Struthio camelus: one gene and its partners. The protein of the gene in region 1 interacts with the protein of each later gene in a pairwise test. Links are inferred from orthologs where the notes say so. Each region holds a gene or a part of one and is shown in the gene's direction. Other genes may lie near its edges. The genes, in order: PACSIN1, COBL, JADE2 and ANKRD24.

Region 1 (7,371 bases):
CGGCCCCGCAGCGCCGCCCCGGGATGGCGCCGAACCGAGGCCGATGCGAGCCCGGAGCGCGGCCTCACCGTGGCGGCGGCGGCGGGCCCGAGAGCGGAAAGGAGGGCGCATGCGCAGAGCGCCGGCTTCCGGCCTCCGAAAGGCCCCCCCGGCGCGGCGGGTGGCCGCGGCGGTGCCTGAGGGAGGCGCGCCGAGGCCCCCGCCGCGCCGGGCAGCGGGGTGTCCGCGGCGGTGCCTGTTTGGAAACGCGCCCCCTTCCCGCGGGGCCGGTTTGGCCGCGGAGAGCCGCCTGCTCCCCCGGGCCCTCCCCGCCACGCTGCCCCACGCGATCCCCCCGCGTTCCCCAGCCCTTCCTCCCTTCGCCCCTGACGCCCAGAGGGCAGCACGGCGCGAGGCCTAGCCCGCGTGGAGCGAACCGCACTCCTCTTTTGGGGGCCAAACCGGCGTTTTGTGCATTTGGGGCGGGGGGGGGGCAGAGCTGGGGGCGCGTTGGCACAGGAGGGCGTTTCTGATGTTCCCCGCCTGCCCCGGCTTCGCCAGCCGCCGTCCCGTCCCGATAACGGGTGCGCCGATTTCCTCCACGTGAAACGAGGAGAGAGGAGCGCGGCGGCGGCGGCGGCGGCGAAGCCCTGGGCTCGGCCTGCGCTTGTCGCCCCCGGGCAGCGGAGCGGCCGCCTGCCTCCAGGCCTCAGGTCGCCGCGACAGAGAAGGGGCGGAGGTGGCTGGCAGGAAGGCAGCGCGTTATCCCAGCTCGTTATCCCGGCCCGTTATCCCGTTATTGCTCTAGGAAGCAGAGCCAGGCACCGGCAGAGGGAGGGGACGTCCGTCCCCTCTGCGCTTCGCAGGGCCCCGCTCGGCCCCGCACGCTGGGCAGCAGAGGCCTGGGGCGCTCAGTGCATGGAGCGGGCAAGGCCACGGGTGCCCCGGCTGCCCTCAGGTCTGCCGGCTGGAGAAACCCGGGGCGCGCGTCCCCGCGCAGGCTGGCCACCCGGGGCCGGCAGCAGCGCTAGAGGGAGCTGCTGTTATCCGGATGACGAGCCGTGCCCGGCGCGCCAGGGCCGGACGGACGCAGGCTCGCGGGCGATGCCAGCGTGGGCGAGCCGCCCCCGCTCCCCCCTCCTCCAAATCTGCGCCAAACGCCCCAAATCCTGATCGCCGTCTCTCCACCGCCGCCTTACCCGGGGATCCCCCACAGCCCGCTGGCGCGAGGGGGCAGCCGGGGCGGTCAGGGGCTTGCCCCCTTTTTCGTCTTCCCAAATCTCCCTCCTCAAAAACCTGCCCTGGATATAGGGCTGCGGGAAGTTTTCTGATCCCCCTCCGCGGGGTGCCCGAGCGAAGAGCCTCCCGGCACAGAAACAGCTCTTCCCCAGCAAAACCAGGCAGGGCTTCATTTAACGGAGCCTTTAAATATTTCATCGAGCAAGTAAAGAAATACAGCCCGTGCCTTGGGGGGGGGCTGCTGCCCCCAGGTCCTCGCACCGGCCAGCTGCTGCCTCGCCAGACGGTGCACGCCGGCGCGCTGCCTCGCGGCGAGGACCTTCCCGCCGAGCAGCTCCGGCCCGGAAAGGGCCTTGGAGACCAGCTGCGTCGCGGCTCGCTCGCCTTCCCCCGGCAGCAGCCCGTGCGTGGGAAATGCCATCACGAGGGTCCCTTTCCCAGCGGCTGCTAGCGATGCCGCCCGCAGGGCCTGGCGCTGCTCTCCCAGCCCTGGCAACCCCGGCCCCGGAAAGCAACAAGCACGAAGCTTCACGTCCCAGCGGCTGCTGGACCCCGTAAAATGCAGCCCGTGGGTCTCCGCAGAGCGTTTTGACATCTCAAGAGTTTGGGAAAACCCTCAAATCACCGTTTTTAAATCAGGTCAGGGAGGAACGACGGTGCGTGGCAGCTCCGCATGCTGCTACGTGTTTCTGCTGCGGCATCCGAAAAGAAGCGGCACCTTTTCCTTCTTCAGCTTGGCCCACGGGGACCCCCGCGGTCACACGTGTCTGGGCCTGATGGGATTTGCAGTGCCGACTCCTTTTCTCACGGTGGAGGCAGATTGCTGGGATCATCCTGCACACCCTGGCGGGGATTAGCGTCCTGGGGGCGCGTTGCCAGCCCCGCTCCGGCCAGGGCGCTGGCCGCGGGTCCCTGCCCCGCCGCCCCTGCCCCGCACGCAGACATCCCTATCGCGTCCGCCCGGCGCGGCGCCGGGGTCTCCAGACGCTCTCGGCGTTGGCTCGGCTGCTTTTGCCATCGGTCCTGGGAGCGAAACGGCAGCAGGAACAAGGGCAGCGCTGGGACGGGGAAGCCGCGAGGGGAAGCCAGCAAGAATAGGTTTTAGCAGGGAAGGCAGCGCCGCAGCGAATCGCAAACCACCCCTCAGCGTAGGCGAGATGCTGTCCGCGCGAGCATCCCCAAGCCCTCTGCAGGTGTTCCTGAGCACAGACAGCCGACGGAGCGGAGCGGAGCGTTGCCTCTTTTCACAGGGAGGAGAGAGCAAGGCAGGCAAGGGGAGCACCCGATGCGCACACCTCCTGGGGAATCTCCAAGCTCTTGCTTGTCTGCTCTGACTGCAGGACAGCCACTGCCGTCCCGGCAAGCCCGGGATGGTGCCTAGCACTGCATCACAGCATCGCTGCGGGAAGGCCTGCGGTGGCCCTGCGCTTGCAATAAGCCCTGCTGTTTCCTGCAGGTGGTGCAGGGAAGAGCCGAAGGTGAGGAGGAAGCGACACACCTGCGATGCCCTTTGGAGCCGGGCTGTAAAGCCCTGGCTGGGATCCTGGGGGCAGGATGGGTCTTGCAGGTGTGGGGAAAACGTGGGACGCACACGCAGGTCTGCCGAGGAGAGCTGCCGCTGCTCCCTGACCTGGCTCACGTGCTCGAGCAAAGGGCTTGGGGCTTGTTGAAGGCGTGCAAAGACCCTTTTGCACCCCGGATTACCCCAGCCAGGAGATCTGAGGGCAGCTGGGCCACCCGCAGCCCAGCTCGGCAACCTCTGCACCGGCACTGAGCCGTCCCTGGGACGGGGTGGAGACGCCGCATCCTCTTCTCTATCCTCTCTGGTCCTTTCGCATCTTCAGCAGGACGGGACGAGGCCCTTTCCGTGAAAGGCTCAGCCCCTGTAATTTTTTGACTGGGGCAGGAATAAGGAAAAGGTCTTTTCCTTCCCGTCCTGCACTGGTTGCAGCACAGGGCACGCTTGCCTTTTATCTTTCCATCTGCGTGTGTATGTACGTCTACCCACTCCCCGTTGTGCCGCCGGACCCCTGCCTCCCTGTCGCTTTGGGCTGACATGGAGCTGATCAGACCCCGCGGAGCAGCAGAAAGCAGCGGGGCACAGCGCTTGCCTCCCTCCCGGCTCCTGCTGCGGGCTCCCGGCACCGCTGCAAGGAGCCTGCAGAGCTCCCCACGGTGTCGGCGCGTTCACACTGCGATTCGGGCTCTGTGCGTCCGCTGGGTGCCGCGCGGCTTTTGCGACCCGCAAACGCTTGGGACAGGCTGACCCAGAAGCTGGGCAGTGCCAGACTGGCTGTTTCCTGCACCTTGCTCCAAGGAGCGCAACCTCCCTGGACTCCAACACGTGCTGGAGAGAAACCTGCTCTGCGCACCTCCGGGCTCGGGGCCCTTCTGTCGTTAGGAGGAGCTGAGAGCAGCTGGCTGCGCTTCGGAGGAAAAAAAAAAAACCTTCCTTTTTTTTTCCTTGAAGCAGGTCCGGCGAAACACAGTGCTTTCGTACCCGATGCAGGCACGGAGCCGCCGTGCACCTGCGCTCGCTGCAAGCGGCTCGTCCCTCCTAGGGCGACCTGCTGCCTTCGCCCCCGGCACTGCCCGCGCTGCCCTGTGGGCCAAGCACGGCCGCCCGCCGGGGACGGCGTCCAGGCGCCCCGGGGCGCCGCGGCGTCCTCCTCTCCCACGCCGGCGCTCCTCCTGCCTGATTCGGAGATGGAAATGCCAGAGCCGGGGCCGGGCTCCCGCGGGCGGCAGCGGGGAGAGGGCTGCTGTGCCCTGCAAACTGCCCCGGCTGGACCCCGCGGGGCTTTGCAGTGCGGGGACCCCCCAAATCAGCCCCGGGGTGCCAGGGGCTGGCTAGGAGAGCAGAGGGAGAGGAGCAGGGAAGGAGGCTGCAAATAAAAGCTTGCAAGGGGGGAAAAAAAAAAAGAGCAAGGAAATGAAGGAGAGACGAGCCGGGGGGTATAGGCAGCGGGACGCCACAGCTGCCTCCGCCTGGCCAGGCCAAGCCGGGCTCCAGGCTTATTCCTTGCTGCTTCTGCAGTAATGTTTTCACCTTGCGCTGCGAAGGAGTCATTGCGCCGAGCCGGGGCGGCGATTGGCTGGCTAAAAATGCCTCTCTAATCTCCGTGCTGATCTTTACCCCCCTCCTCCCCATCTGCTGTGACCTTCCTTCCAATGTGCAGCGCCAGCCGGAGCGAGACGGAGCCAACCGGCCTTGCCTGCCAGCTGCCCGGGCGCCCGGGCCACCCCGGTGGGCGCCCCTCGCCGCTGCCCATGGTCCCCGCAGCCTCTCCGCGCAGGTACCGGCACGCCGTCCCCGGGCGCCCGGGGGGGTCGGGGCAGGCGACGACGGGCGGCCGGGGTGCCGGCAGGCAGCGGGTGGCCCCGGGGCGGGGGGCAGGGCCCGCTGCTGGGAGCCCGCCAGCTGGCCCCCTCCGAAGCCGGGTCCCTAAAGCTTTCCGTGAACCTATGACACAGAGCTGGAAGCCGAAAACGGGGCCCGAACGGCCCGCAGATGTCGTGGCCGTCGGCGCCGAGCGAGCTGACCGCTGCGCTCGTCTCCCCGCCGCCCCGGCGGCGCCGTCTCGCCCGGCCGGCGGGCAGCGCCGCGTCCCGCGCCCGGACCCCGGCGCGGCCTTCCAAGGGCCGTGGCCCCCTTCCCAGGCGCTGCTGCGGGCCGAGCCGGCTCCTCGCGGTCCCGCGGCGGGGGCAGCGCCAGCCCTCGGCGTGCCCCGCCGTGCCTAGCCCCCGCGCCCCTCGCGCCCCCTCCCTGATCCCTCTCCGGCGTCGCCTGCCGCAGCATCCTGCCCCCCTGCCCCAAACCCCCATCCCCAGCGCCCTCTGGACACGTTGGCCAAACGCTGATCCGTCCCCCGGAGGGACCCCGGCCCCCCGGTGGGTGCCAGCCTCCGGCAGGGCCCTGGCAGCGCCCCGGCCCCGGCACGGCTCTGCCTTGGGCCAGCACCGCGGGGGCCGCCGGGGGGGAGTGGGGGGGTTCCTCGGGGTCTCCGAGAGGGGACGACCTGCGGCGGGGGCTGAGCTCCGGAGGGGCTCGGAGAGCCGAGATGAGAAGGTCTGGGGGAGCTTCACCATCCTTCCTGGCCGCTTTGCACCCGCAGGAGGGGGTGGAGGGGGTCCGTGCGCACGTGCTGCTGGGGACGCCCCGAGGGGCGCAGGGCTCGCGCCGGCCGGTTTCGGGGGGCCCCGGCGCTGCGGAGGGGCAGCCGAGCCGGAGGCTGGTGCAGCCGGGGCGCGCGGGGCCGGCAGCCTGGTGGCATCTCCGTCGGGGCTTTGCTGTCGCTTTGCACAGCCGGGAGGCAGGGGGAGGCAGCCAAAACGTCGCGGGGGCAGAGCCGGAGATGCTGCCCTAACTGCGGCCACCCCCCGGGGCGAAACGGCTCCTCTTGCCGGGCTCGTCCCCCCATTCCCACCGCAGCCGCCAGCCCCGCGGCACCACTCTTGCACCCGCCTTGGGAACGGCCAAGCAAGCGCTTTGCTAAACGGATTAGAGCCGGCGCTTCCCGCCGCCTCTCCGAGCCGCCTCGACCCTCCGCGCTACCCTCGGAGCTCGAGCGCCGGCGGCTCCGAGCGGCTGCAGGGATCCCGGCGATGCTGCTGCCGGCCTGGCCCTGCAGCCCCCGGGGGCCGTCGGTCCCGCGCCCGAGCACGAGGACGGTCCCTCTGCTGCGGAGCCCGGAGCAGGTCCTTCCCGCTCCTCCTGCCGGGGCAGCGGCGTTGCCAACAGCGCTGGCCCCGCGCGGGGAGACTTTGTCCCCTCGCCAGGCGGCCGGCCCGCCCGACGTTTGTGCGAGGCCTAGGAGCGAGCCGGGTGGCTGCTGCAGCTCTGCAGGCGCCGGGGGACAGCGAGGTGCCGCCGGGGCCCGGCCGGCCGGGGCGATACCTCGGCGCCTCTCCGCCCTGCGCCGCGAGCTGCTTTCCCAGGGGAAAATGGAGCCTTTGTGGCGCGGCCCCTGCCCCTTCCCCGGAAGGGCTCCGACGATACCCCCGGGGCCGGCGGTTAGCGGACAAAAAGGGGATTGTTTGGGTGGGAGCCGGGTTTGTGGCGGCACCTGCGCCGCGCCGGCGGGGGGGGCCCTGCACAATGGCTCGCTTTCTGCAGGACTGCGCTCGCCCGCCGCTGCCGCCGCTAATTAGAGATGCAAAATAGCCCCGCGCCTGGCTTCCCACGGCCGGCGGGGGCGAAGCTCGGCAGCGGGAAGGCTGGGGGCCGGCCGGGGACCCCTCTCGGCCCCTCCGGCCGCCGCGACGCTTCTGCTGCGCTCCTCTGGGAGGGAAGCGCCTTGCCGCGCTGCTGGCAGAAGCGTCATCGTAGACCGCCGAGCGGCCCCCTAAATCAGGCCTCGTTTCCTGCCGGCGTCGGTTGTTGCTTCCCACGCGGGCGCTGATTTTGCAGGAGGGGAAATAGTAACCCGTGGGATAGTGAAAGCCGGGGGAAAAGCGTGTCGGGGAAGCGGTTTTGGGGGAGAAGCGGCTGGCTCTCGTCCCGTGAGCCCAGCGCCAGCTCGGCAGCCGGGCAGACGCGGCTCCCCAGCTGCGAGCGAGCCTGCCAGGCAAAGAGATGTGGCTCAGCTCGTCCGAGCCCCGATGCTCAGAGCGGTCGCCCCTCCGCGTCCTGATGCCCCCGCGCAGCAGGCGGCGGTGCAGAGAGCGGCGGCTGAGACCTGCCAGCTCGCGCCACCCAAGGACTGCAGAGCTCCCCGAGGCGTTTGTCAGGGCGCCGCTGCCCAATTAGTCTCCCGTCTCCGCTTTCTTGCCGGAGAGTCTAACGGCCTGAAGCACCAAAAGGCGAAAATCACCCGGCGTTTTGCAGGAATTGTAGCCGAGGTGATTTTGCAACGCCGAAGCGCTGCAGCCAACCGAGAGAGGCAGCCGCAAGGCAGGGGGCTGCCCTCGGCCCGCCGGGACGTCCCCGCTCCGGCCCTGTGCCGGCTCGGCGGCCTGCGGCGCGCTGCCCGCCGCTCGGGGCATCAGCAGACGAATCGCCCGTCGGGGCGTCAAATCTTCTTCCCAAAAAGTCTCTGCTCCGCCTTTGCCAGGTCTGGTAGGTGGCTCCTTCTGCCAAACGTGCCGGGTGGCAAAACCAACCCCAGGGCACAGCGGCTGCAAGGGGGGCGAGGAGCCCGATTCAGCGGGCTG
Region 2 (7,612 bases), on another chromosome or scaffold:
AGAGGTTTCCTCAACAGCTTTTTCCAAGCAAAGGCTGGGAAGGGCTCTCCAGCCTTTTGCATCAAGCAAGCAATTGTGCACACTCCCAGTTCCTTCTTCCAGGTGTTTAATGCCCTCCAAACTCTTGACCAACTTCAGTTAAGTTTCAGGAGATAAAAGAAGAAGGTTCTCTGAAAGGACCTACCTTTCCGGACAGAATAGGTCTAGAGATAACTAAAGACAAAGGGCAAACTTGAGTATTTCTACATACACAGTAGGTGATTATCTGATAACTCAGAAGTAATACAAATGATCCTGGCTGTAGCTACATAATATAAAATATAAAACCTATGTCCATATCCCTGCGTTTGTTCAGATGGCTTCTTTGACGTGTCGTCATATGATTTACTACCTTTATTCGTTCTTCCTCTCTTCCTTGGGAGACCCAATTACATCGTAGACTTGTTAGACTAAAACTCCAAAACCATATAGAGAAATAAGACTGCTGTTCCTTGGATTCTCAGAGCAGGAACTAGTTTTTGTTCTCTCCTGAATGTGGTACACTTTGGTATTGAATCATAAATGAGGCTCCTAGGCACGGCGCTAGACAAGTAAGAGAAACAAAAGATGTACCAGACACTTGTCAGTGATTTGCTGCATGACTATGGACAGAGCCAAGGCCAATTTGCATATCCCAGTTCCCCCTGGAGTGCCTCTAGGCATTAAATGACTGTGTCTTTCTAAAGCAAATTCAGCCTCTCGGTTTTCGATAATGTCACACTAGTATCGTATAGACTAGCGATGACTTAATATTTGTTCAAAAAATTTTGTGTCCGTTTTATTTGGGTTTTGACAGGCTTCTGTAAAATCAATGTAATTTGCTCGTGGCTATTTTAAGTTCCCAATAAAACCAATTGGACCTATAGGGCTAAATCCCCAAACAGCTTGTTGGAGAAGGGTGGTTCTGGGACTCGAGGGTCTGAGAAGCCCAGGAAGTTTAATTTCCCTTCCATTTTTCCTGCAGATAGAAAAATAAAGGAATTTCATGAGCTTGAGGCTACACAGCTCCAGTTGTTACATAGTCAGGAATTCTGCAGTTGTATAGCAAATAAGAGAGTACTCTTATATAAGGCTTAAACTGCAACTTTCAGATTGCTTGGAGTGGAAAAAAGAGTTGAGTTTAGGTGGCAAAAATGTGTATTTGCTATTAACTAAAATTGCCCACATTAGCTAACTTCTATTCACAATCTTTTCTTATTCTTATTCTTAGGCTAAAACCTGGCTTCAAATTCTAGGATGATCCTCAAGCAGCTAAGTTGTAGCAAAAGATATAAACTGTGCTAGATTCGAGAAAAAGTCTTGGATAACTGGTGTATATTAGCTAATCCTGACCTAACGTCAACCTCTTTTTGCTACATTAGAAAAAAAAAATTCATTCCTATTATACTTGTCTTACTAGATTCCTTACATATTCAGTTAGGTTTATACTGTAAACTAAAATTCCTTAAACATGGCAGGCCAGTTTTATCTGAAAAAGAATGAAGTCTTAAAGCTTTTACTCCGTAATATAATTAGCAGTGAAGGTCAAGAAAAATAGGAATCATGTTTTGAAGACTGGATAAGAGTGGAAACATGAAGTTGCATTGCTGTTTAATAAAGTATCATTTTGTAAGGTATTTCATAGCAAGGCTAAGGTATTTCATAGGTATTTCATAGCAGAGATGTTATCATCAAAATGCCTTAACAGTCTTAGGAAATATATTGAGGACGTCATCTAAATGGAGATGATTAGTCATGAAACTGTATGGACAGGAGAAGGTTAAAAAGCCGGTCCGGGCTGGGATTGCATATACTCAATCTCGTAGACGTTTTATGAGATTTGCAAATACTTGTACAGCCCCTCTCAGGGCTAATGCCCAATGCCTAAAAAATTAGCACAGCCTCCCGCTTGTGGAAATTACAGTGCACAGTAGAATCGCTCCCTTGGCTCCTTTTGAGAATTGGGCCAGGTACCAAGTTGCCTGGCAAAAGGCAAATACCCAGGTCGTACTGCAAAGAGCGGCTCTACGTACTCCGCTTGGACCCTCAGCTGGCTAACCACGACTGCAGGATTTTGGCTACGGACAACCTGTGCTGCTCTTCCTAGCCCTCTAGAGAGGTATTAAGACGATGATTTCAGTGATTAATAGGTTTTCACTCTTTTGCTGTGCTGTACAAAATGAAGTGAACATAAGAAGCTGATACCATCGTTTACTGGTTCGCGCCTTGTTGTGACAGCCTTTATATGCCTACAGAAAGAAGATGGTATCAAACAGAAAATGTGTTCACTGATGTGAAATAGGAGAGGGTGAGGAAAACTGGAACATCAGCAGAGCTACAGATGTGCAGGGAAGATAGTGAGGTGGTTGCTCCATGAAGTAAGAGCAAAAGAGATCAGTAGCGGTGAGAGTCCCTTACAGGGCAGCAGGGTGGGTCTGAGCGGCGCAGATGGGAGTAGAGAGAAGTGGGTGGCAGGAAGGCCCAACACACCTTTGGAGTGAGGAAATACTGGCATGCAGGTGTATCACAGTGTAACAGAAATCACTCTTGAGACAGAGGAAGTTATTTCAGGTTTTTGAAATAAATGGAGCAGCGTAGGTATGATGTAGACATGGGAAGGCCTGGGGCTCCTGTATGCGTTTTGTGCCCATGCAGCCTTAGCATATATTCTAGGATAGGAAAGAGTACATTTAGGTTTAGGAGGAGAAAAGGGAGATGTAAAGGTAAGCAAATGATGAACAGAGCTATGAAAGCCAGTTACCACAGTTTAACAGATAACGACTCACCGTAACAATTCCTTGTGACTGACAGCGTGCATTCTCTGAATCCACTCCACCTGCAAAATACCCATGTAAAGTAGCCTATTTCTTTTCATAATGAGGCAAATTAAGGACATGCATGTAGTTCATTACTATAGCTCAGATGACCGGGGTAACTATCAAAGCATGGTGACTGAATCAATGTATATTGGTCACTTCAACCAACTTAAACAGGGAAATTAAGGATCAATGATGTTTCATTTTTGCAAATTTGTGTTTCTGTTCCTCTAACTATGGCTGGGGGAGTCAGCTGCCTCTCTTACCATTGGGCCCTCTGCATACACGTTGACAGGACAGGTACGGAGAAGGGGGAACAGAAAACAGCTTCTTAACCTTCTGCTGGGAAGAAGAGCCAGGAATTAAGGGGAGAGATCTAAAATCATCAAAGTGAGAGGAGATGAAATTAAGGGTGACTATATTACAATAAATCGTTTTGTTATACACAGAGATAGATGCACAAAAACAGATACTGTGATTAGAATGCAGAAGCCTTGGTACAAGACAGAAGAAGGTGGGGGTTTACTGAAATCTTCCATTCATGCAATACAGAAAAAATGAACGTTTTTTTCCTTTCTATTATTAGCACATTAATCCAGTGTCTAAATGTTTCCAAGGATTTATGATCTGCCTGGGGCAGCATTTTCTTGCAGATAGCAATGCCATCGTTTCCATGCAGCTGCTGACATAGGTTTACCAAGCCTTGCTCCCTGAGGAAGAAGAAACTTTCTCTCGCTTTTTGGGCCAGAGAAGTTGCCTGCATTCATGCAGGACGCTCGGCTGAGCGAGGCACTGTCGGATGGGCAGAAGTGGCGCAGATGCGAGCTGAAGGGAGGGAAGAGCTTGGGGAAAGGGGTGACCATTGATTGACAGGATAGCCTGTGGGACTGTCACTGGCGCAGCTGGGGGAAAAGGTTTGTCAGGAATCGCTCCCCTTTGCTGCTCACAGCCGTTCACTGGAGTTTCTCACTGTCGGTCTGCTCAGACTGCTTGTTCTCATCTCCTGCGTCCTGCTTTTGCTGGTGGCCTGTCCCAGCTCTTTCCTGCCCTCCCACCACGGCTGGGAAGTGAAGGGGAGGCTTGGGGCAGAGAAACTCCTGAAACACCCGGGAGAGACCAGAAAGGCCCAAAACGGATCACCCCAGAGAGCGGGCATGCACCGCAGTCACCTAAGCCAGGCTTCTCCTTCCACGCAATGGTTGCTCTCCTAGGGTAAGAGGGCACGAGGTAAGTATTCCTGAAATAGCCTATTACGATGCTTAAGTGCCACCGGCATCGCCACGAAGGGTGTGCTGGGCAGCCGGGCACCAAGCAGCGGCTCCGCACCAGGTGCCCCGGCTCAGCCCACTCAGTGGGCGCATCTCGGGGCCAGTCCGTGCCATGTCCGATTCCTCACCAAGGACCTTCCAGCGGCTCTCCTGACTGAAGCCGTCTACTAATTTTAAATGAGCTGTTTCCGCTGCCACCAAGAAAAAGCGAAAAATATGCAATATTGCGATGCATATAAAGTATTTTATACAAAAATAAAAGCAAGGCGCTTTCTGTGGGAGCCGGCGGCGTCGCCCTTCCTGCGGAGCTGGTGGAAAGGCTGCTTCGGGCAGGGCAGGGCGGCGGCTGCCGCAGAGGTGGCCACGGCCACCTCCGCCTGCGCGGGGGCTGCGCGGGGGCACCGCCGCGCCGCGCCGCGCCGCCCCTCCCCGCGCCCTCCCCCAGGTAGGAGGGTCCGGCCCGGCCCGGGTTTGGCGGCGGGTCCGTCCTCGCCCGGCGGCGGTGGCGGTGTGCGCGGAGCGCCGCGCTGCCGCCCGCTGCTGCCTTGCCGCCCTGCGGGAGGCGGCGCGGCCGGAGGACAAGCGAGGTGCGACCGGAGAGAGGGAAAGAAGCCGCTTCTTAATCATTTTCTTCTTTTTTCCCCCTTTTTTTTTTTTTTTAATTCCCCGCCCCCCCCATCTCCCTCCGACCTTGGCCCCGCTCGCCCAGCGGGACCGTGCGCGGCGGCAGGCGGCCGCCCATGGAGACGCTGGTGCACCCGGGGGCCGGCAAGCCCCCCAGCGGGTAAGGCGTCCGGACCGCGCTGCGCTGCGCAGGGCTGCGGTGCGGTGCGGTGCCCGGCGGGCCGCGAGGGCGCTGCTGCCGGCGGAGCGGGGCGGCGGCGCGGCCAGGGCAGGGTGCGCCGGGCGGGGAGAAGGGCACAGCTTGGAAACCGCTTGGAAAAGTGCGGGGTTTGGGTTGTTGTTGTTGTTGTTGTTTTTTTTCTGTTTCGCGGGGGCGGTGGCTCCCCGCGGCTGCGCAGCGCCGAGCGGCGCTGGGGCCGCCGGCGGCCGCGGCTCCTCGTACGTGTGCCCCCTCCCGTCTGTGTGCTCACGGGCAGCTGCCAAAAGCCTTTGGAAGGTTTTTATTCAGCCCTCAGTTCCTTACCCCCATTGCCCAGTCGTGGTAAAGGAGGGGGGAAAGAAATTAAAAAAAAAAAAATCTGACAAGGCTTGTCAATAATGCCAAAATTTTGTTAAAACTTAGTAAACTGCGGTGCTGGGCAGGCTCCTCTGACATCTGGAGATTCCTGCCGAGCGCTAAACTACCCCTCCGCCGCCCCTGCACGCTTGCTGTGGCCGTGGGCACGCAGGTCGGCTGCTGGTCAGAGTTTCTAGTGCCTTTTGGTGTCCTGCACCTATTTAACAGCTATAACGGACCCGGCGTAGTCAACCCGAGTATTAACCATATGTGGCTTTGGGGTTCTTAAAGAGAATAAATAAATGCGGACTGTAAAGCAGCAAATTAGGTAGGCCACTAATTAAGCACCCAGAGCTGCACACGCGTCAAGTCCTAAGTGGTCTCTTTTGTCCGAGTAGAAGCTGGGCAAGTCTTAAGAGTTGCAGTGTCTACTCGTCGCAATTTACTGCTCTACTTCACACTGTCTGCACGTATTGGGAAAGAACGTAGTTGGTTCAGAAGCTTTTCTGCTTTGCTTTTAGTTATAGTTTTTATGTCATAAATTCATTGCCGACTACATGGGAAAGTTTTAAAGTCCGTGTTGATAAACTGTGTAGACTTGCTCTGTTTAATTTCCTTCATTTCTGTGTTTCGTGGGAGGTCTTCCAATGTGTAACTGGAAGGTTGGTCAGAACAGGGAGTGATGGATGAAGGGAAATGTCACTGCTAGTGCTGTATGAGTAAAAACTCCACGTGAACAGTTATTTCTTTGACTTGCAGAGCATAATATAGCTTGGGGCTTTGTTGTAAGATGGTTAATCTCTGATAATCAGTCTATTCGATTATGACTTTTTAAATTAACCTTTTAAAGAGAAGCAATGTATGTACTTAAAAAGATTTGATTTCTTAACGTAGCTGTTCTCCAGAATTCTGATGAAGAAGAGATGAGGGATGCAAATTTACATGTGTTTTGAGGTATAACTATACTTCTCAAATGTAATGTTGATTTAAAAACCTGTCTTGATTGCTAGATGTCAAAAGATTCATTACAGAGTTTTAAATTTTGAACAAGAGTCCATATTATTAATGTTTTTCCAAAATGAAAACTGGTACAATTCTGAGAGATTCACTGAAGTTCCGGGGGCTTTATTAACCAAAGGTCCACGATGTCAGTTTAGGCAGTTTTATCAGTTTAAAGTGGATTGCATGGCCAGGCTCTCTACTATGTAAATGAAGAGAAATTAGAGCAGCAGCATGAGGTTCAGTCACTTTGTTTCTGACCTGGCACAAGGAGGAGAACTTGGTCTTAAGGTTAGAGGTGCCGGGGATCACGTATAGTACAGAACATGGGTGCTAATCTGCGCCTGCTGAAGCTGACTGCAAAGCTGTCGTATACATTAACAAGGAATGACTGTATGTTTCATCTTAATTCAGTTAAGAGCTGAAATACTGTTGCTTTTTCTTGGAATTTCAGAGCTCTCAGTCTGGCTGTGGCCATGCTGTTGGTGATGGTTTTTGCTGGAACAGTTCTAACTTCCCTAAATTACTAGCCTTAGCACTGGAAACGGGGTGGATATTTGGTTCCTAGCTAGGTTTTACTCATTCAGTGAAGAAATCCACTAGGACCAGTACAATGTGGCAGGGAGACAGCTTTGCCTATTCCTGTTAGTTCCCTTGTGAATCCAAAAGTGAACTGCACCTATGGAGCATGTCAGGGGAGCGTTTAATTTAAGGGGCTCTGGCACAAGTATATCCCTTGTATGGGAGAAGAAATGCTGTATGAGTTTCTAGCTTATTGATTGGGTTAGCTTGCAGTTATGAAAGGAAGAGGTTAAAATGACTGTGGCTTTAAACATTTTTTACAAAATTTAGGCAGAGCTGTTTTGTCTCTATGTAAATCATTAATAGCTCTGTTACAGGTTTCCTTTGTTAAACAGTGAACAAATTTGATGTGTCATTTGGTACGGAGTAGAACAGTTCTGCTGTGTGTCTTATGCAGATAATCTGACAACGTGTATTTCATGGCACAGCTGCTTGACAACTGCACATTTAAAAGCAGGATACTGGGGTTTTTTGTTTAAATAGCAAAGGAAAAAATGTAATTTGTCTTGGTGCTACAGGGTTTTTCCCATTTCTTAATTTAAAAAATAGTTTAGATTTGGCTACCGATAATGTTGTTATTACTGATTGCTAGGCATGAGTTTTGTAAAGCTTTATGGAGCATCTAACATTAATTTTAGATGATGACGGTGAAGTTAAGAAAAGCAGCAGCAGCACCAGAAGTGAGAATTTCTTCTTCTGTAATTGTGCAACAGGTGCTAGAAGAGAGAAATACACTGTTTTTTTTTTTT
Region 3 (7,985 bases), on another chromosome or scaffold:
GCGCCGTCGCAACGCTTGCTTTCAGGCGTCGCAGCTGCTCCTAGCGCAGCTCGCCGCACGGGATTCGCCCGTAAAAGTCAAATTTCCCGACGCTGAAGCTCGAGACAGCCCACGGCGCCGCGTTACCCGCCCTGCCGCCAGCTATATTTCATTTGGAAAGCGTGACGTGTCTACGGGAGGGGAAGAGGGGGATCGAACCGGGCAAGCCGGGACCTGCAGCGGTGCCCGCGGGCTGCGGCCAGGGCACGGGCAGCGAGACCAGGGCTCCCGTCGCAGCAGCGCCGCTCGCCACTCGCGCTTCCTATTTCCCCAGATCCGTTTTACTCCTGAGGGCCCTTCGAAAGCCACAGCTAGGTCAACGGGGGGGATGCGCGCTGCACCCGGTGCGCTCCGTGATCGACTTGAACGTGCAGAAAACGGAGAAGCAAACCGACAGGAGGAGTCTTGAAACCCGGCAGGAGCCCGAGCCGGCCGGTGGGCGCCTCCACGCCGAACCGCTCGGGGCTGCGCTCCTCAGGGCAACCCCGTCGGAGAGAGAGGGATTGCCATTTCTCGGAAAAATATGACAGCAGCTGCTGCGCAGAGAGAACTGTGCAGGTGCCTGTCGAGGGATGGCCATTTGTAACGCCAACAGCTTATTTTTTGTTTGTTTGTTTGTTTGCAGTTTATTTTGATACCAAATTTCTAGCTACGGAAGGTAATTGAGATTTCCAACAAAATCTCACCAGCCACTGATCTGCCAAATCAAATCTTCTCCTGTAAGTATCGTATTTTTCCCTCGCTTCAGAGGGGAAAAGGGCTGTGCAGAACGCCTGAGAAACAAACAGGATTCGTTTGTGTAGTGATGTAGTCATTCATTCCAGGAGATGGGAATGATTATTATTATAATTTAGAACAGAGCTTGTCCTTTTTTCCTGCTACTGCATCTGCTTACTATTCTCCAAATTAACACCTGTCTCAATAGAAGTCAAATTTCACGATTACCGCTGAATATTGGACCGCCCTATCTGGGATACGGAGGCAAAAAGATTTCCAGCATCTTTGCGCTGCCCTCCTGGATTGGCTGAGCGCTGACCTGGTCCTTGGTTTTAATTAAAGTAGCCATGAGATGCCTTTGACTTCTTCCATCTACCAGAGGCCTCAGAAGAGGGTCCTGAAGGCCGTAAATCAGCAGGCAAATTTTCAGGTTGCATGGTGCTTCTGAAATTCCCCATCAGAGGGTCGCCGCTCCGCCGGCGCCCAGGCTCCCCGCTCCGGGAGCACGGAGAAATCCCAGCGGAAAGGGGGTGCGCCGCGCTCCAGGATCGTTCACTTGGAGTAAACGTCCTCCCAGCTTCCGGCTGGCTAACGTTACTAAATGGATCGTTTCTAAAGCGCTTGACTTGAAAGGACATTGAATTTTCATTATATTTGGGGATCGCTCGCGCTCCCTTGGATCCGTCCCATTCTTGCGCCTGGCGCTAATCGATACCACGCTAATCAAATCTGATGACAACCGGGCGACTGGGTTTTCTTCTTTTCCTCTCCTGTGAGATCGGTCGACATTGAGATTTTTTTGTCCGTAGTCAAGGCTTGTTGACAAGGTTTATTAACTCTAAGTGTTGTGAGATGCACTGTTCTGTACACTCATCCTCGAGGCTGCGTTAGCAATTTTGCAATCATTGATATTTGGCGAGCCAATTCCCCCGTAAAAATCAATGTATTTACATCTAGTTATACTAGCGCTGCGTTTCTTCCAAAGTGTATTAGCAGGCATGAAACACGAGCAGTATAAGCAGCAGTCTCACGGCACTTTGGGGGACTCCTTTTCAGTGCCTGAATTTAACGCTGGAGCTCATACAAAGCTCATAAAGGCTAAGCCCATCATGTAAAAACAGCTGTTAATTCTAATTATGTGCTCATCATCCAAAGGTTACCTGTTTTATTCTTCTAGGTATGCAAAAATAAGCACTGGTGAATGAAGATGAAAGGAAAATGTTGCTGGTTTCTTCCCCGGAGATCATATTTCTTACTTGTTGCATAACTGCTTATTTTAGCATCAATCAGCTGAGCCTTTGTTGTGTAGACAATTCTGTCCTTTTAGAGGATTTGTGCAGCGCTATTTCTTCCAAAATGCTTTTTTGTTTTCACTATTCGATTTATTTCTTCTCTTAGCAAATGCCAACTGACAACACCCTGTCAGAGCTCCTCATAATTGTTACATAAATGTCTTACTATGTAAACTGAATAGCGTATATTTAATATACATGACCCTTCTGTAGAACCATCCATCAAGTGTATTGTAGGTATGCGTTACATATTTGCGTTTGTATACATATTTTGTATAAATGTGCATATATGGTAGCCAAAAATCTGTTAAACGCATGATCAGTGCGGCAAAGGAAAGTACCTACAATTAAGAAAAGGCGGAATTGTGATTGCCAGTGCAGCTTCATAAATGCCCTTTTGTGGAAGCAGAATAAGATTTTAACTGCATGATCAGGTAGTATTTTTCTTCTATACCTCTACCTCGCGCAGCCATGAGATGGCCAGAGAGGTGCTCATCAATGCTGTTTTGTTCCTGTGGTCCTACATGCGATCCTAGGCCTTAGTTGAGCACATCATTCACGCTCCCTGGCTACTTTTGACATTCACAGCCACAGAAAATACAGCTCTGACCCTTGTGGGGGCAATTTCCAAATCAGAACTAGGCGCTCGTGTTCTCGATAGCAAAAGCGCAGTGAGTTGGTGCCTAGGATGCTGCGGAGGTATCGTGCGCGGCCGCTCTGCACCGAGGAGCTGACCTGCCTGGGTCTGGACGTGCTGCGGCCCCTTCACAGGTACCGTCCAGAAGTCCCGCAGAAGGGGCAGGAGACTCGTAAGGCTGCGGAGCGGTAGAGCACCACAGCAGAGAAGGTGGCAGCTTCCTCTGAAGACACAGTTACTACTTTCCTCGCGAGTTTTTCTACGGTACTTTCCACGACGCTGCATCCGCGCTTGGGCACCTTAATTAATCCTCCCAAAACGCTCGTTCTGGGTCAGGGTGACACGCAGACGGATTAAGGTCAGAAGTTCCGGCTAATTTCGGGTGCTCTGTCCGGGAAGCGTAACGTCTGCTTTTTCAGAGCATTTATCATGATACAGCACTTTGCACATGCAAGCGCAGCACCCGCTGCTTCCAGCCGTAGTTGTAAGATGGATGTCAGCAAATTGGGCTAAAGCTCTCCAGCTAAACACCCACAACGCGGGAAATACAGTCATCAGTGTCCAAAAAGTTGCGTTTAATGACTCTGTTAGGGAAGTCTGTGGCAAAGGCAAGGAGAGAATCCAGTTCTCCAGGGCAGTTTCATCCTGTCTTCCCTGCGAGACACCGTTCGCGTCCCGCAGCCCTTGCTTCACTCCATGGACAGTGTTTGGCTCCGCAGGTGAGACAGGGATCCGGCAGAAACGTGTTTCCTTTTTGGCTTGCCCGCGCAGCAGGTCCAGCACATGCAGGTGCCGAGGGAGAAAGAGATCGTGACGGCGAAATGAAGAACTGCATTAGAAAACGTATGTATCGTAGGTCTAAATAAATTTAGACAGAAAGCCTCCACTTGGAGGTTTCCTAAGTTCTGACTGCTTAACGCGGTAGCGCAGTGTGCGTGCGGAGGTCTACCGGGCTGGGCAGGGAAAACCGCAGCGTGCCGAGCGGCGGGGCCAGGGCTGCTGGCGGTGCCCCCCGCCGCGGCGCTGCACTAGCAGGGGACAGAAATAGCACGTGGGCTCAGCGCTTGGGAGTCCCACCATTCCTGTGCTATCAGCAGAGCTTTTTTTCTTTGCTTTCTTTCTTTCTTTCTTTTTTTTTTTTCCCAAACTAACAGCTAAAGTTTCTTATTCTTCTCTGGGGCCGCTCTCCAGAGAAGAGCCTCCCCGGAGAAGATGACAACATCTTATTTCTAAATGGGAACTGCTCCCAAATCCCTCTTCCCAAACTCGCCCTCTTTCTTCAGCTCCTGCCTGGCCTGGCACCGCCGAGAGCTGCGCCCGCACGAGGTCCCGAGCACCCTCGGCTTTCGGCAGCGGCGGGCCGCGTCCGCAGGGAACAGATTTGCCAAGGAATCAGCAGCTGGAATCGGGCATGTTTTTACCCCGCGCTGGGAGCTGCTGCTTTTCGAGGACTAGTAAGACGTCTAACTCGGGTGGGTTTATCTAAAGGCTGCCTCAGGGCAAGTTTCAAGACCCTATTTCCACCTACACAGTCCTAAAAATAAATAAATACATAAATAGAAACCCCAAGAATGAGCAAAGCAAATTTCCCCCCCCTTCTTATGTCTTCGTTCTTGGAAGAGCCAAAGGATTTTGAGTAGAGTTTTCAGAAAATGTGCAGCACAGGCTCCCAAAACAGCAAGTTTTAGCCTAATTCATTAAAGTTTGGCAAATTAGGTAGGGAGCCGAAACGGAGGTGTACACTGGGGAATACTGGACTACCTTAGTTATCGGTGGTGGTCCTTGCTGTCCCTTTCGTCATTCCCAGTGTTTTTCACAATCAGTGAGTTTCGGAGCTAACCAAATCCCAGAGATCATAACAGGCTGCGACTGACAGACTGTCTCTAAACTGAATTTTAATATTCGGCAGCAGGGGGTTAAAATCGTGCAAAGCAACTGGTGCAAGGCGCTGCGCGGCGGGGCCTGGGCAAGGCGCAGCCCCGTCCGCCCGGGCGTTACGTTTCATGTGCCCAAAGGCTCCGCTCGGGGCGGCCGCGCTGCTCCTGCCGCCGCCGCCGCCTGCAGCCGCCCCCGGGGCAGGGGCTGCGCCGCCGCCGCCGCCCGCGCAGCCGGCTCCGCCGCGGCGGGCGGGGGGCTGCGCGGACGCTCCGCCGAGCGCCGGGCAGGGAGGGAGGCGGCCGGGCCGCGGGGAGGCGCGCGCCACAGCGCGGAGCGGCGCGGAAGCTGCGCGGGCGCCCCGGCGGCTGTTCCCACGCCGCCCGGCCCGCGCCCGCGCAAGTTTGCCGCCGGGGGGGGGGGGCGGCGCCGCCGCCCCCCGGCCCGCCCGCCGCGCCGCTCCGCGATGGGCAAGAAACGTCTTTTTGACGCAGGAGAAATGGCAAATTTTAAGTACGTCATTAATATGGCGCCAAAAGGTTGTGTGTGTGTGTGTGTGTGTGTGTGTGAGTGAGTGAGTGTTTTTTTTTTTTTTAAGTATAAGCTTATTCTTTTTTTTTCTTTTTTTCTTTTTTTTTTTTTTAAGGTTGCAGCAGCAGCCCAGTCTACGCCTGTGCGTAGCTCGGAGGAGAGAGGGGGAGTGAAGCGGAGGGGGGAGAGGAGGTAAAGTGCGAGTGTGTGTGTGTGTGTGTGTGTGTGTGTGTGTGCGCGCGTGCGTGCGCAGGGCTCGCTGCGCGGCGCCCGCGGAGCGGCGCGGGGCGCGGGCCGCGCCGTGGGGCGGCGGCGCGGGGGGCGCTGAGCGCGCCCGGCCGCGATGGGGCCCGCGCGCGCCGCACCTGGCCCGGCCGCTGCGCGCCCGCGGGAGGCGGCGAGCCGCAAAGCGAGGCGCTGAAGGGAGATTTGGGAGGCGCGGCGGCGGCGGGGAAGGGGTGGGTGGGTGGCTGGGGGGGGGGGGGAAGAAACGGAGCGATACCACCATTATCCGTAACCGCTCCAAAAAGTCGCCTCTCCGCCTGCCCTCGCCGGCCAAGCGGCGCGGCGCGGCGCGGCGCGGCTCGGCGTTGTTGCGAGGAGCTCCCGAGGAAGTGCGCGCTGAAAAAGAAACAGAAAGGCGCAGGCAGGGCTCGCCGGATTGTGCCCGGAGCGGCCATCTCGGCTGGAAGCGAGCGCCGGGGGCTTTGCATCCATGGAGTTACTTTGTGGCCGCTCCTGAAAAGGAAGGGCCCCCCTCCCCTTACACCCCCCCCCCGCTACACCCCCCTCCTCCCCGGGCCGCCGGGCCCCGGCAATGACACCGGATTGAGCCGGGCCAGGGGCGCTCAGCCCCGGGGAGGCTGCGGAGCATCCCCGCCCCCTCCGCCGTCCTCCCCTCCCGTCACCCCAGAGACAGTCGCAACTCTTTTGAGGACACGCTCCTGGCAAAGGTAAAGGATGAGCGGGGCTTCGGGGAGGGGGGAGGGGGGGGACAAGGTTGGGGGGGGGGAATCGGTTGATTTTTTTTTTTTTTTTTTTGCAGCGGATCGTTATTTTGCAGCTCCCCCTGGGTTTTATTTATTTATTTATTTATTTATTTATTTATTGGATTTTTTTTTTTTTTCCTCCCGGCCCCGTCCTCGCCGGGGCCGGCTGCGAGGCGGGGGGATGTGCGGCGTTTGCCAGCGGCGGGTTGCGCATGTTGGTCACTCTTGTTTTAAAGTGTACGAGGGAGGCAGCGGGAATGTAAACAAGAACTTTTAAAGGGTCGCCGGGCAGCCTGGCTGGGCGGGTTTGGGTTTTTGTTGTTGTTGCTGTTGTTGTTGGGTTTTTTTAAATACATATTTCCCAAATTAATGACTGCGGCAGAGGCTGCCCCGCGCCGGCCGCCGTGCCCGGCCCGCGGGCGGGGGGCGCGCAACGCGCGGGCCCTTTCGGCGAGGTGCCGGCGGAAGATGCGCGGCAGCGGGCGCCTTGAGGGGCTTGCGCAGCGCGCTTGGGAGCGGGGCGGGCGCTGCGCGGCGGCGGGGCCGGGGCGGCGGGGCGCTGCGCGGCCGCGGGCCGGTGCGCGGGGCCGGGCGGCGGCGGGGGCGTGGCGGCTGCGCGCCGCTGCCCTGCGGCCTCCGCTCCGCGCCTTCTGCTCGCTGCTCGCCCCGCCGCCTCCTTCCCCCCCACCCCCTCCCCGGAGCTTCCGCGCTACGCGGCCGCGCAGCCCCGCGCAGGCCGCCTCCCCTCCTACCTCGGCCGGCCCTAAAAATACCGCGGCCCTGCCGGGGGCGTCCTGCCGGGAGCGGCTCTGCCTCCGCGCCGCGCAGAGCCGCGCAGAGCCGCGCGGGCCCGGCCGCCCCCCTGGCGCTGCGCCCCCGCGCGGGCCGGGCCGAGCCGGCGCCGCGCTGCGCTGCGCTGCGCAGCGCGGCGGAGAGCTGCCCCCGCCCGGCCGCGCCGCGCCGCTCCGCGCCGCCCAGGAGGCGGCAACGACGTGCGAGCTGGCGGATGCTGCAAGGGCAGAAAGGCTGAGTTTTGCCCAGCTCAGGTGCTGCTCGGGGCAAGGTCTCCCGGGCTGCAGATGCTGGCAGCCTTCGGGCTGGGAAGGGAAAGCGGCCCCTGGCCGTGCACATCCCCCGCAGCCCTCCCTCGGTTAGTTAGTTTTGAACCCCGACCCTCGCCGTGAGGCTTCTTGTGAGAAAGGGGGGGATTTTACTTGGGGAAAAATCAGTGATCTCGGGCTTTCTGCCTGGGGTGAGGAGCCTCGCTCTCGGGAATGGTGGTTGACCTTTAAGCGTTTATTGGCTGCTGAGGTTAAAATAAGCTTGAGATGGAAGCAGAAATAGCTTGTAGAAAGGTTACATCAAAGGTTAGGTTTGTTTTTCCTAGGAAAACTTGAGGCTGATTCCTAAAAATCAAGGCTTGGAGCAAAGGAGGGGCAAGTATGCGAACCCTGAAGGCTTCTGGGCAGGGAGATGACATTAGCGTATCGGTGGCTGCTGGCAGCGTTCGACAGCACGTTCTGCAAGTTGGGGGAGACGTGAGCCTCCAACTTCAATAGGGACCGATCTGGGTTTCCCTAGGTATTCCCTGCCGAGGGCCCATAGCTGCCGTTGCTTTCGGGCGCAGCTGCGGCTGCTGGCGGAGCTGCGGGACGGCGCAGGTGACGCCTCCTGCGCCCAGGCTGGCAGGAGGCAGGGCTGTCCCCGAGGGCCCGGCTTCCCTGGTCCTGCCTCACGCAGGTCCCGGCTGGTTGAGGAGAAAGTGGGCGACGAGAGGGTAAAAGCTAAACAAGTCAGAAAGGGAAAGTAAAGTCATAAATATGAGTAATAAAGAAAAAAATCCCCTTCTAGGTTTGGAAAAAATGCAAAGCACCGGAAGTAAACCGGGGCTCGTTTTGTTTTAAA
Region 4 (7,371 bases), on another chromosome or scaffold:
TGCGCAGTCTGCTGCTGCAGCTCAGCTGACAGGCGGTAGGTAACCTGCTACAGCCCAACAGCACTGTCTGCCTGTTCTGCTTGTGAGCACCCTTGGCACCTGGCTGGGTGCACTACTGAAAAGCATCACCTGAGGCTGATTTCATTTCATTACCCCTCAGATTATTGCCACAACCTCTCTTCTCTGAATTCAAGCTGGTTTACATCCCCTTCCCCCACCAATGCATTCCGGTTTCCCCGCTTGTATCAGTGGGCAGACAGCTTCCAAGCTGGACATTTCTTGGAAGCAGAGCATTCAGGCCCCAGCATCAAGAGAAAATTAGCTGGCCCATTTTGTTAGGAGCATTGGCAAGAGTTTGCACATGCGACCACCCTAACTGGGCAGCAAGAACAGCCACACAACAGTGGCTGGGGCTGGGGCAGGCACAGGGGACCCAGAAGCAAGGCGGGAGAAGCAGTACCGTGGGAATCCCGAACGGACGTGAAGGCCGTCCACGTTCTGGCTGACCAGGAACTTGAGGATGCCGACTCTCTGCAGCCCCAGCAGTGCCATGTGAGTCTTGGAGGGCCTGGCATTCTCAAAGGTGGTGTCAAATTTTGGGGAGAGCCCCTTCTCTTCCATAGTCCAGACACCATTTGGCCCCCTGTGGCAGAGCAGACAGAAAAGTGATGATCACAGACTCTAAGATGCTTGTGAATGCATCACGAGCACTATCAACAGAGTAAGAGCAAGACTCTGCTAAATGAAGGTCACCCGTTACCAGGGATCTCTGACCTTGATGAAGGAGAACACACATGGGGCTTCTGCAGGTACAGCTTAATGTCAAGCAGCGACTTGCAAGAGGGAAAGGGTAGTGTCTGCTGAGTGGTGGCTGGTTACAGGACCAGGTCTTGCTGCAGGCAGGAAGGGGCGGCAGGGAGCACAGTCCAGAGCTTTGCGAGAAGTGCAATGGCCCACGAGGAGGTGCTACTCCTTCCACCCCTCACTTGCTGTCCTGCTCCCTTACCCACCATCCTTACCTGAAGTCGGGAATCCCTGAGGCAGTACTGATTCCAGCCCCTGTGTGAAACACCACGTTCGAGGAACTCCTTATCAAATCTGCCAGTTCACGCACTTTCCTCTCCAGCTCCTCCGGAGGATCAAAAATCTGAGAAGAAACAAACCACAGCAGGAACTGAGAGACCCAGTGGTGGGTGCTACGCACCCCCGCAGCAGGCACACACACCCAGTAAACTGTTCTTTCTTATCCACAATGAAAACTGCAGGTGGGAAATAAGATTTCTCATTGCTTAACGATAAAAGCATCTAACTGGAGAGAAACAGCATTGTACAAACTGTCCCCATGTAGTATAGGGGCTTAAAAAAGCCTTATGCAGAAGAGGGTATTTAATGCTCTTGCCAACGGGTACCTGATACCCACAGAAGCATCTTGGATCAAGGGCACAGTGGAGCAGCAGGAGGAAGGGAGCGACCCCGGGGCCAGCCCAGGTGCACTGATCCCCGGCACCGTTCCCCAGCAGAGCCGCGGGCTCGACAGGGCTCGGGGCCAGCGAGCCACAGCGGAAGAAGAGGGTGGCCATGGAGATGGAAGAGGCAGAGCCACTGTAGCTGGATGGGTTTGCGGGACCATCCTGCCTTCTGGCACGGGCGACCGTTACGGACGCAGAGTTGCATTTCTGCGGGCTGCTCCTCCAGCCTGGTCCCCTGAGGACACGGGCTGAGGAGGACGTCCCGTCCCCGCGCTCCAAGGCGGGCTCAGGACGCCCCTGCGCGTCCCCGTCCCCCTAGACCTCTTCTAAGCTTCTCGAGCGCTGCTGTGCCCTGTTGGGCCGCGAGGTTGGGATCCCCCCCCCCCCAGCTATGCCTGGGACAGGCCCCACAGCGGGCGAGGGCCTGCCCTGAAAAAGGGGGGACCCTGAGGGGGCACTGGGGTCTCTGCTGGGAGGGGGGGGGTCACGGATTGGGCTCGGGGGAGGCACAAGGGCAGCACTATGGCACTGGGAGAGTCTCTGCTGGGGGTGGGGGGCAACACAAATGGGGTCCGGTTGAGGGGGAACATGGGGCAGGGGGGGTGCAATCCCTGCTAAGGGACACATAGGCTTGGGGATCCCTGCTGGGGGGGCAAAAAGAGGGGCGCGGGGCTGGGCTTGGGGGGGGGGTACAAAGGGGAGCCACAGGGCTGGGCCGGGGGGCAAAAGGGGGTCCGTGGGGCTGGGCCTGGAGGGCGGGGGGAGAGCCATAGGGCTGGAAGACCATGGAGCTGGGGGGGGGGGAGCCACGGAGGGGGCCCGTGGGGCTGGGGGGACGGACACGGCTGGGCCGGGGCCGCCGCTGGGGGGCACCGGGGGGAGCGTGGAGGCCCCACCCGGGAGACAGGGGGGGACAAGGGGTGGGGTGGGCCGGGGCCGGGCCAGGCAGGCCCCGCGGCGCCTCGCTCACCTCGGGGAGGCCGCACTTGCCCTTGTCCGAGTACGGCGAGAGCCCGGCCGCGTAGTTCACCGCCATGGCCCGGCCCGGCCGCGCCGCCCGCCGCGCACCAATAAAGTTTTCATTGTTGTCAATGCCCGCGGAAGGGCGGAAGCGCGCAATGAAGCCGCGGGGCGCGGGGCGCATGCGCAAGGCAGGGCCGGTGGGGAGGGAAGGCGAGGGCGGCGCCGCCATATTGGTGCCTGGCAGGGAAAGCACCTGCCCTTCCCTTGCCCTTCCTCTGCTCCAGCCTAATTCCTGCCCCCCCCCCCAAAACCCGGCCCGGACACAGGCGCTGGGCGGGGGGTGCCAGGCAGGGACGAGGCCTGGGCCCAGCCCTGCCCCACACCGCCCCCAACCCTTGGGGAGGGATGTGGGGTCCCAGCCCTGCAGGGCTCCATCCACCCCCCCCAGGCCCCCTCTGCCTCGGGTCACGCCGCCACCGCCTTCCCCGGGGCGTTTCGGGGGCTGCCCCACATCACCCCACGGGTGGCAAAAGGGGGCACCCGCTGCCGCCCTCAGGGAGGCCCCGAACGGGCTCGGGGGGCCCCGCTCGGCGCGGGCAGGTGTAACCGGAGCCGCCGTAACCCAACTCCCCCGCGGCGCCTGGGTCCCCCCCGGCGCCCGCCGGCCGGCCACGAAGCGCCGGGGTGGCTCAGCGGCGGGGCGGCCGCGGGGTGAGGAAGGGTCTGCGGGCGCCGGTGGGAGACGGTGGGGGGGGGCGGCCGGCGGGACCCCACGCGGGCCTGGTTTTGGGGGGCGGCTGCTGGGGGGGGGAGCAGGGCGTCGAGGAGGCGCACGCACGTGTCCCCCCCCCCCCCCCGCCACCACCTCTGGGGTGACGGGGACCCTCACGGCGCCGCCGTCTCCCTCGTCTAGGCACGGCGGGCCGGAGGGTCGAGCCGCCATGAAGAGCCTCAAGGCCAAGTTCAAGAAGTCGGACGTGAGTGCGGTCCGTGGGGGGGGGGGGGGGGGAAGGGGGTCCCCGACGGAGGGGGGAAACGCCGTCGGGCGAGAGGGTCCCGCCTGCCGGCTCTGGGGTGCCCGGGAGGGCTGCCAGGTTTCCGGAGCTGGCCATCGGGTTCCCACCTCGGTGACGGCACTCGTCGATACTCATCAATAATTCAGCGCCGCGCGGCGGTCCGCCGCCGGGCCGGGGAGCGGGGAGGGCAGCTGCCACCCTGCCGGGGGTGACGGTGCCGTCCCCGGTGCCCGCGGAGGTGCTGGGGGGGGGGGGGACGTGGCCCTGCTCGAGCTCGTTTTGGTGCGGGTTAAACGCCGAAGCGTGGCCCCCTCCCTGGGGTCTGGGGAGCTGCCTGGCCCGGGGATGCCCCGTGCCTCGGTTTCCCCACCTGCCCGGCTCCTCTGGGCGCTGCGGCAGCGGGGAGGGCTGAACGGGCCGCTGCTGCCCCCCTAAACTGCCCCTATCCGGGGGGGGGCCCTTCTCCGCAGCTCTGCCCTTCCCCGGCCGGGTTTCCATCTTCCTTCCCCAACGGTTGGGGCCACGGCCGCAGCCTGTCCCAGCGCGGCCCCCGCTTCGGCTGGGACCTGCGTTTCCACCCCAGTTTGGGGGGGGGGCTGTGCCCCTCCTTCCAGGGCAGGGTCTGGGTGCCAGGAGGATGCTCCCGTCCTTGATTTGGGGGTGCCCCACTGCCTCGCCCTGGGGGAGCTGACCTCCCCCCCCCCACCCCAGTCCCTCCCAGTCTAACTGGGACCAGCCCTGGACGCTCGGTCCTGCTGTGGTCCTCGCTCCATCCGCAGGGATGCGGGGATGCCTCGAGCTCCCGGTGATGAGGAGGGAGGGAAGGAAGGAGGGACGGAGGGATGGAGGGAGGCGGGTCCCAGCTCCCACTGCGGCAGGACCCGGCCCCCCGCCCGGGCGGCGGTGCTGGAGCCAGCTGGGGTCCGCGGCCGGCCCGGCTGGCCCTCGCCCAGGCGGGGGGCGAGGGATGCATGGCCGCCCGCCGCCTCCTCCTCGACACCATGAAGCAGATCTGCCTCTGTGCCGCTGCCTCCTTTGCGGTACGTCCCTGCCCCCCCCCGTCCCCGGTCCCCTTCGGTCCCCGTCCTCTGGGGATGGCTGTGTCACCCCCCCACCTCACCTGCCCCAGGCCCCTTCTATCCCCGGGACTTGGCTGCGTCCTCTCCGAGCTGCTTTGTCCTTGCACGGCAAGGGTTGGAGGGGGGGGGGATTGCACTCCCAGTTTGCCCAGTAACCCCAGGAGACTGCTTTATTCCCCGCCCTGGGACACGGTCCTCCAGCTCCGCAGGGTCAGGGGAGTTGTGGGGTTATTGGGGAGGGGGCTGTGGCACAAGCCCCGTGCCAGGCACTGGGCACCGGGCTGGCGATGGGCAGGATGCGAGCAGCTCCGAAAGGTGACATCCATTTCCTGTCTCCCCCGGCCGCAGCCTAGCTTTGGTTTGCGGCCGCAGGCTGCGGTGTGAACCCGGGGCTTCCCGGGCTCGTCCCAGCCCCGTCCCGTCCTGCTGCAGGTCGCTCCGCCGGCCCCCATCCGGACCCGATCCTGGGCAGGAGCAGGGGGTGTCCTCGTGTCCCACGCGCCAACGGGGGCTGGAGGTGTCCCCGGGGACCCGTTTTCACTGCCCTGCCCTGGCTCGGCCCCATCCCTGGCGGGCAGCAAAAAGGGGTGGCCGTGGGGCCGGGGCGAGGTGCGTGGAGGTTGGGGAGAGCCTGGGCAAGGTGGGGGCTCAAGCAGCTGTGGCTGCTGGCTGTGTTTAGCAGCGGGGTCGGCGGAGCAGCAGCAGCAAGCCCTGGGGCAGGGTGATGGGGCAGCAGCAGGTCATTCCTGAATCCCGGCCCGATCTGGGCACAGTGAAACTGGGACAGCTCTGTAAATCCCTGGGCTGAAAACTTGGGGACCCCCATGCCAGGCAGCTAAACCCTCCTTATAGAGGGGCCAGATGGCACCTGGCAAAGGAGTTGGCCCGGAGATGGCCACCCTAGGGCATGGGATGGGATAGCAGGGATGGGGATGAGGACAGGGACACAAGCCCAGCCCAGCACCCTGCCTGTCTCCAGGGTCCAAACACCCATCACGGCCCCGTCTCGGTTTCATTGCAGAGCCAGGACTGGACCAAGAACGATGAGAAGCTCCTGCAAGCTGTGGATTACAACGATGCCGGGAGGGTGACGTCGCTCCTCGTCCGCAAGGGGCTGGTCGCCACCAAGTTGGACTTGGAGGGCAAATCCGCGTGAGTACTGACCTGTATCCTCCTGTCCCTGTGTCCGCCCTGGCGCAGGCTGCTGGGCTCTCCTGGTCCCCTGAGCCACCCAGCGCTGCTCCTCGGGGCTTGCCGGGGGTTGGGGACATGGGGCTGATGGCCCTGGGCCTTGCTGCAGGTTCCACCTGGCCGCCATGCGGGGGAACGTGGACTGCCTCGAAGCCATGCTGGCCCACGGCGTGGATGCCATGACCAAGGACAGCTCAGGTGAGGGGCATGGCCACCGCACCCAGCTTCCCTCGTCCCCCCTCTTTTCCTCTCCGGGTAATGCTGTGGACCGCCTTGGGCCCCTGACACTCCCCAGTCCTTCCTACCCGACCGGCAGGTGCCAAGGCTGTGGAGACAGAGGTGATGGCCACATGGGCTGTAAATCAATGCTCAAGGAGGGTCCTAGCCGCCAACAGGCACCTGAACCCTGGCCCATGGTGTTCCCAGGGGTGCCTCGTCCCTGCTCAGCCCCAGCCCTGCAGGGTGCTGGGCTTTCCTGGCGCCCTGAGCCACCTCATGATGTTCCCCAGAGCTCCCGGGGCAGAGGGTAGGGGATGACCGCCTGTGTGCTTGTCTGTCTGTCCCCCAACCCATCCGTCTGCCACCGCCCTGTCCGTCTGACCGTAACCTGTCTGTGTCCCTCTCCCCAGGTTACACTGCCCTGCACTTGGCATCCAAGCATGGCCACCCGCAATGTGTCAGCAAGCTGCTGCAGGTAATGGGGCCTGGGTGCACGGCGCCGCGAGGGAGGCAGGGTGCCATGCCCTGTGCCATGCCCGACTCGGCCCCTTGCTCCAAGGGCACAGCCAGGCCCAACCTGCCTCGTCCTCCCTGCATCCCTGGGATGGCCACGCTCCCATCCCTCTGCAGTGGCGTTGGTCGGCATGGTGGTGCCTGGCTCTGGCCAGCACCATGTGGTTTGGGGCTGGTGATGATGCTCTTCCACCACCAAGGAGCTCAAAGTGCCCCACAGTCCTGGCCCCTCAGGCAATCCACCCCATTCTCCTGTAACCCAGGCCCTCTCCCTCAGGCCTCCTGCCCCGTGGACGTGCCTGATGGCAGCGGCCGGACGGCACTGCACCACGCAGGTGAGTGGGGACGGTGCCACCCCATCCTGCTCGCATCCCTGCAGGAGTCAATACTCAGCCTCTGTCCTTCTCCCCAGCTGTCAGCGGCTGCATCTCGTGCTCGGAGATCCTCTGCGATTTCAAGGCTCCATTGAACATCAAGGACAAGGTGAGATCCCTCTGCTCAGCACCTGCTGTTGTATGGAGGTCAAGTCCTCCGGCAGTGATTAAACTCTACTGGGCCAGGTGATGCTGCTGCGTAGAGCAGCCAAGGGCCAGGCTGAGGCTGCCTCTGAAATGTGGCCACTTCTGGGGTGGGACACAGCAGCTAACTGCTGGCAGCACCTGGGGTCCCTGGGGTGCTGCTGTGAAAACACACTGCCCCTGCCCAGGATGGCTTCACGCCGCTGATCCTTGCTGCCAAGATGAGCCACTCAGAGCTGTGCCGGTACCTGCTGCACCGTGGAGCGGCCGTGAACAGCCGGGACCTGCAAGGGAGGTGAGTCCCCCCCGAAGGGGACGGGGGGCCGACGGAGCGGACCGGACCCCTCACCTCTCCTCTCGTGGCTCTCCAGAACAGCCTTGATGCTGGCCTGCGAGAACGGCA

What was found.
Region 2: the proteins of PACSIN1 (region 1) and COBL interact in binary tests that used the Homo sapiens proteins (3 or more experiments, as listed by UniProt). The link is inferred for Struthio camelus from reciprocal best matches to the Homo sapiens genes PACSIN1 and COBL.
Region 3: the proteins of PACSIN1 (region 1) and JADE2 interact in a two-hybrid assay, tested with the Homo sapiens proteins (2 studies listed by BioGRID and IntAct). The link is inferred for Struthio camelus from reciprocal best matches to the Homo sapiens genes PACSIN1 and JADE2.
Region 4: the proteins of PACSIN1 (region 1) and ANKRD24 interact in a two-hybrid assay, tested with the Homo sapiens proteins (2 studies listed by BioGRID and IntAct). The link is inferred for Struthio camelus from reciprocal best matches to the Homo sapiens genes PACSIN1 and ANKRD24.

Annotation. Positions count from the first base shown.
Region 1 is NC_090965.1:5,558,976-5,566,346, reverse strand, and holds the start of PACSIN1 (protein kinase C and casein kinase substrate in neurons protein 1), read left to right. Parts: upstream 1-4,368; 5' UTR 4,369-4,514; intron 4,515-7,371. UniProt on the Homo sapiens protein: Plays a role in the reorganization of the microtubule cytoskeleton via its interaction with MAPT; this decreases microtubule stability and inhibits MAPT-induced microtubule polymerization.
Region 2 is NC_090943.1:65,991,863-65,999,474, reverse strand, and holds the start of COBL (protein cordon-bleu), read left to right. Parts: upstream 1-4,600; 5' UTR 4,601-4,842; coding exon 4,843-4,886; intron 4,887-7,612.
Region 3 is NC_090954.1:4,001,357-4,009,341, forward strand, and holds the start of JADE2 (E3 ubiquitin-protein ligase Jade-2), read left to right. Parts: upstream 1-4,982; 5' UTR 4,983-5,073; intron 5,074-5,206; 5' UTR 5,207-5,283; intron 5,284-5,533; exon of another isoform or gene 5,534-6,044; intron 6,045-7,985. UniProt on the Homo sapiens protein: Scaffold subunit of some HBO1 complexes, which have a histone H4 acetyltransferase activity. Acts as an E3 ubiquitin-protein ligase mediating the ubiquitination and subsequent proteasomal degradation of target protein histone demethylase KDM1A.
Region 4 is NC_090967.1:4,375,349-4,382,719, forward strand, and holds the start of ANKRD24 (ankyrin repeat domain-containing protein 24), read left to right. Parts: upstream 1-4,360; 5' UTR 4,361-4,419; coding exon 4,420-4,488; intron 4,489-5,548; coding exon 5,549-5,679; intron 5,680-5,827; coding exon 5,828-5,916; intron 5,917-6,347; coding exon 6,348-6,412; intron 6,413-6,727; coding exon 6,728-6,785; intron 6,786-6,862; coding exon 6,863-6,933; intron 6,934-7,156; coding exon 7,157-7,263; intron 7,264-7,339; coding exon 7,340-7,371. Other genes in the region: SIRT6 (NAD-dependent protein deacylase sirtuin-6), read right to left, coding at 461-643, 1,020-1,147, 2,440-2,505. UniProt on the Homo sapiens protein: Component of the stereocilia rootlet in hair cells of inner ear.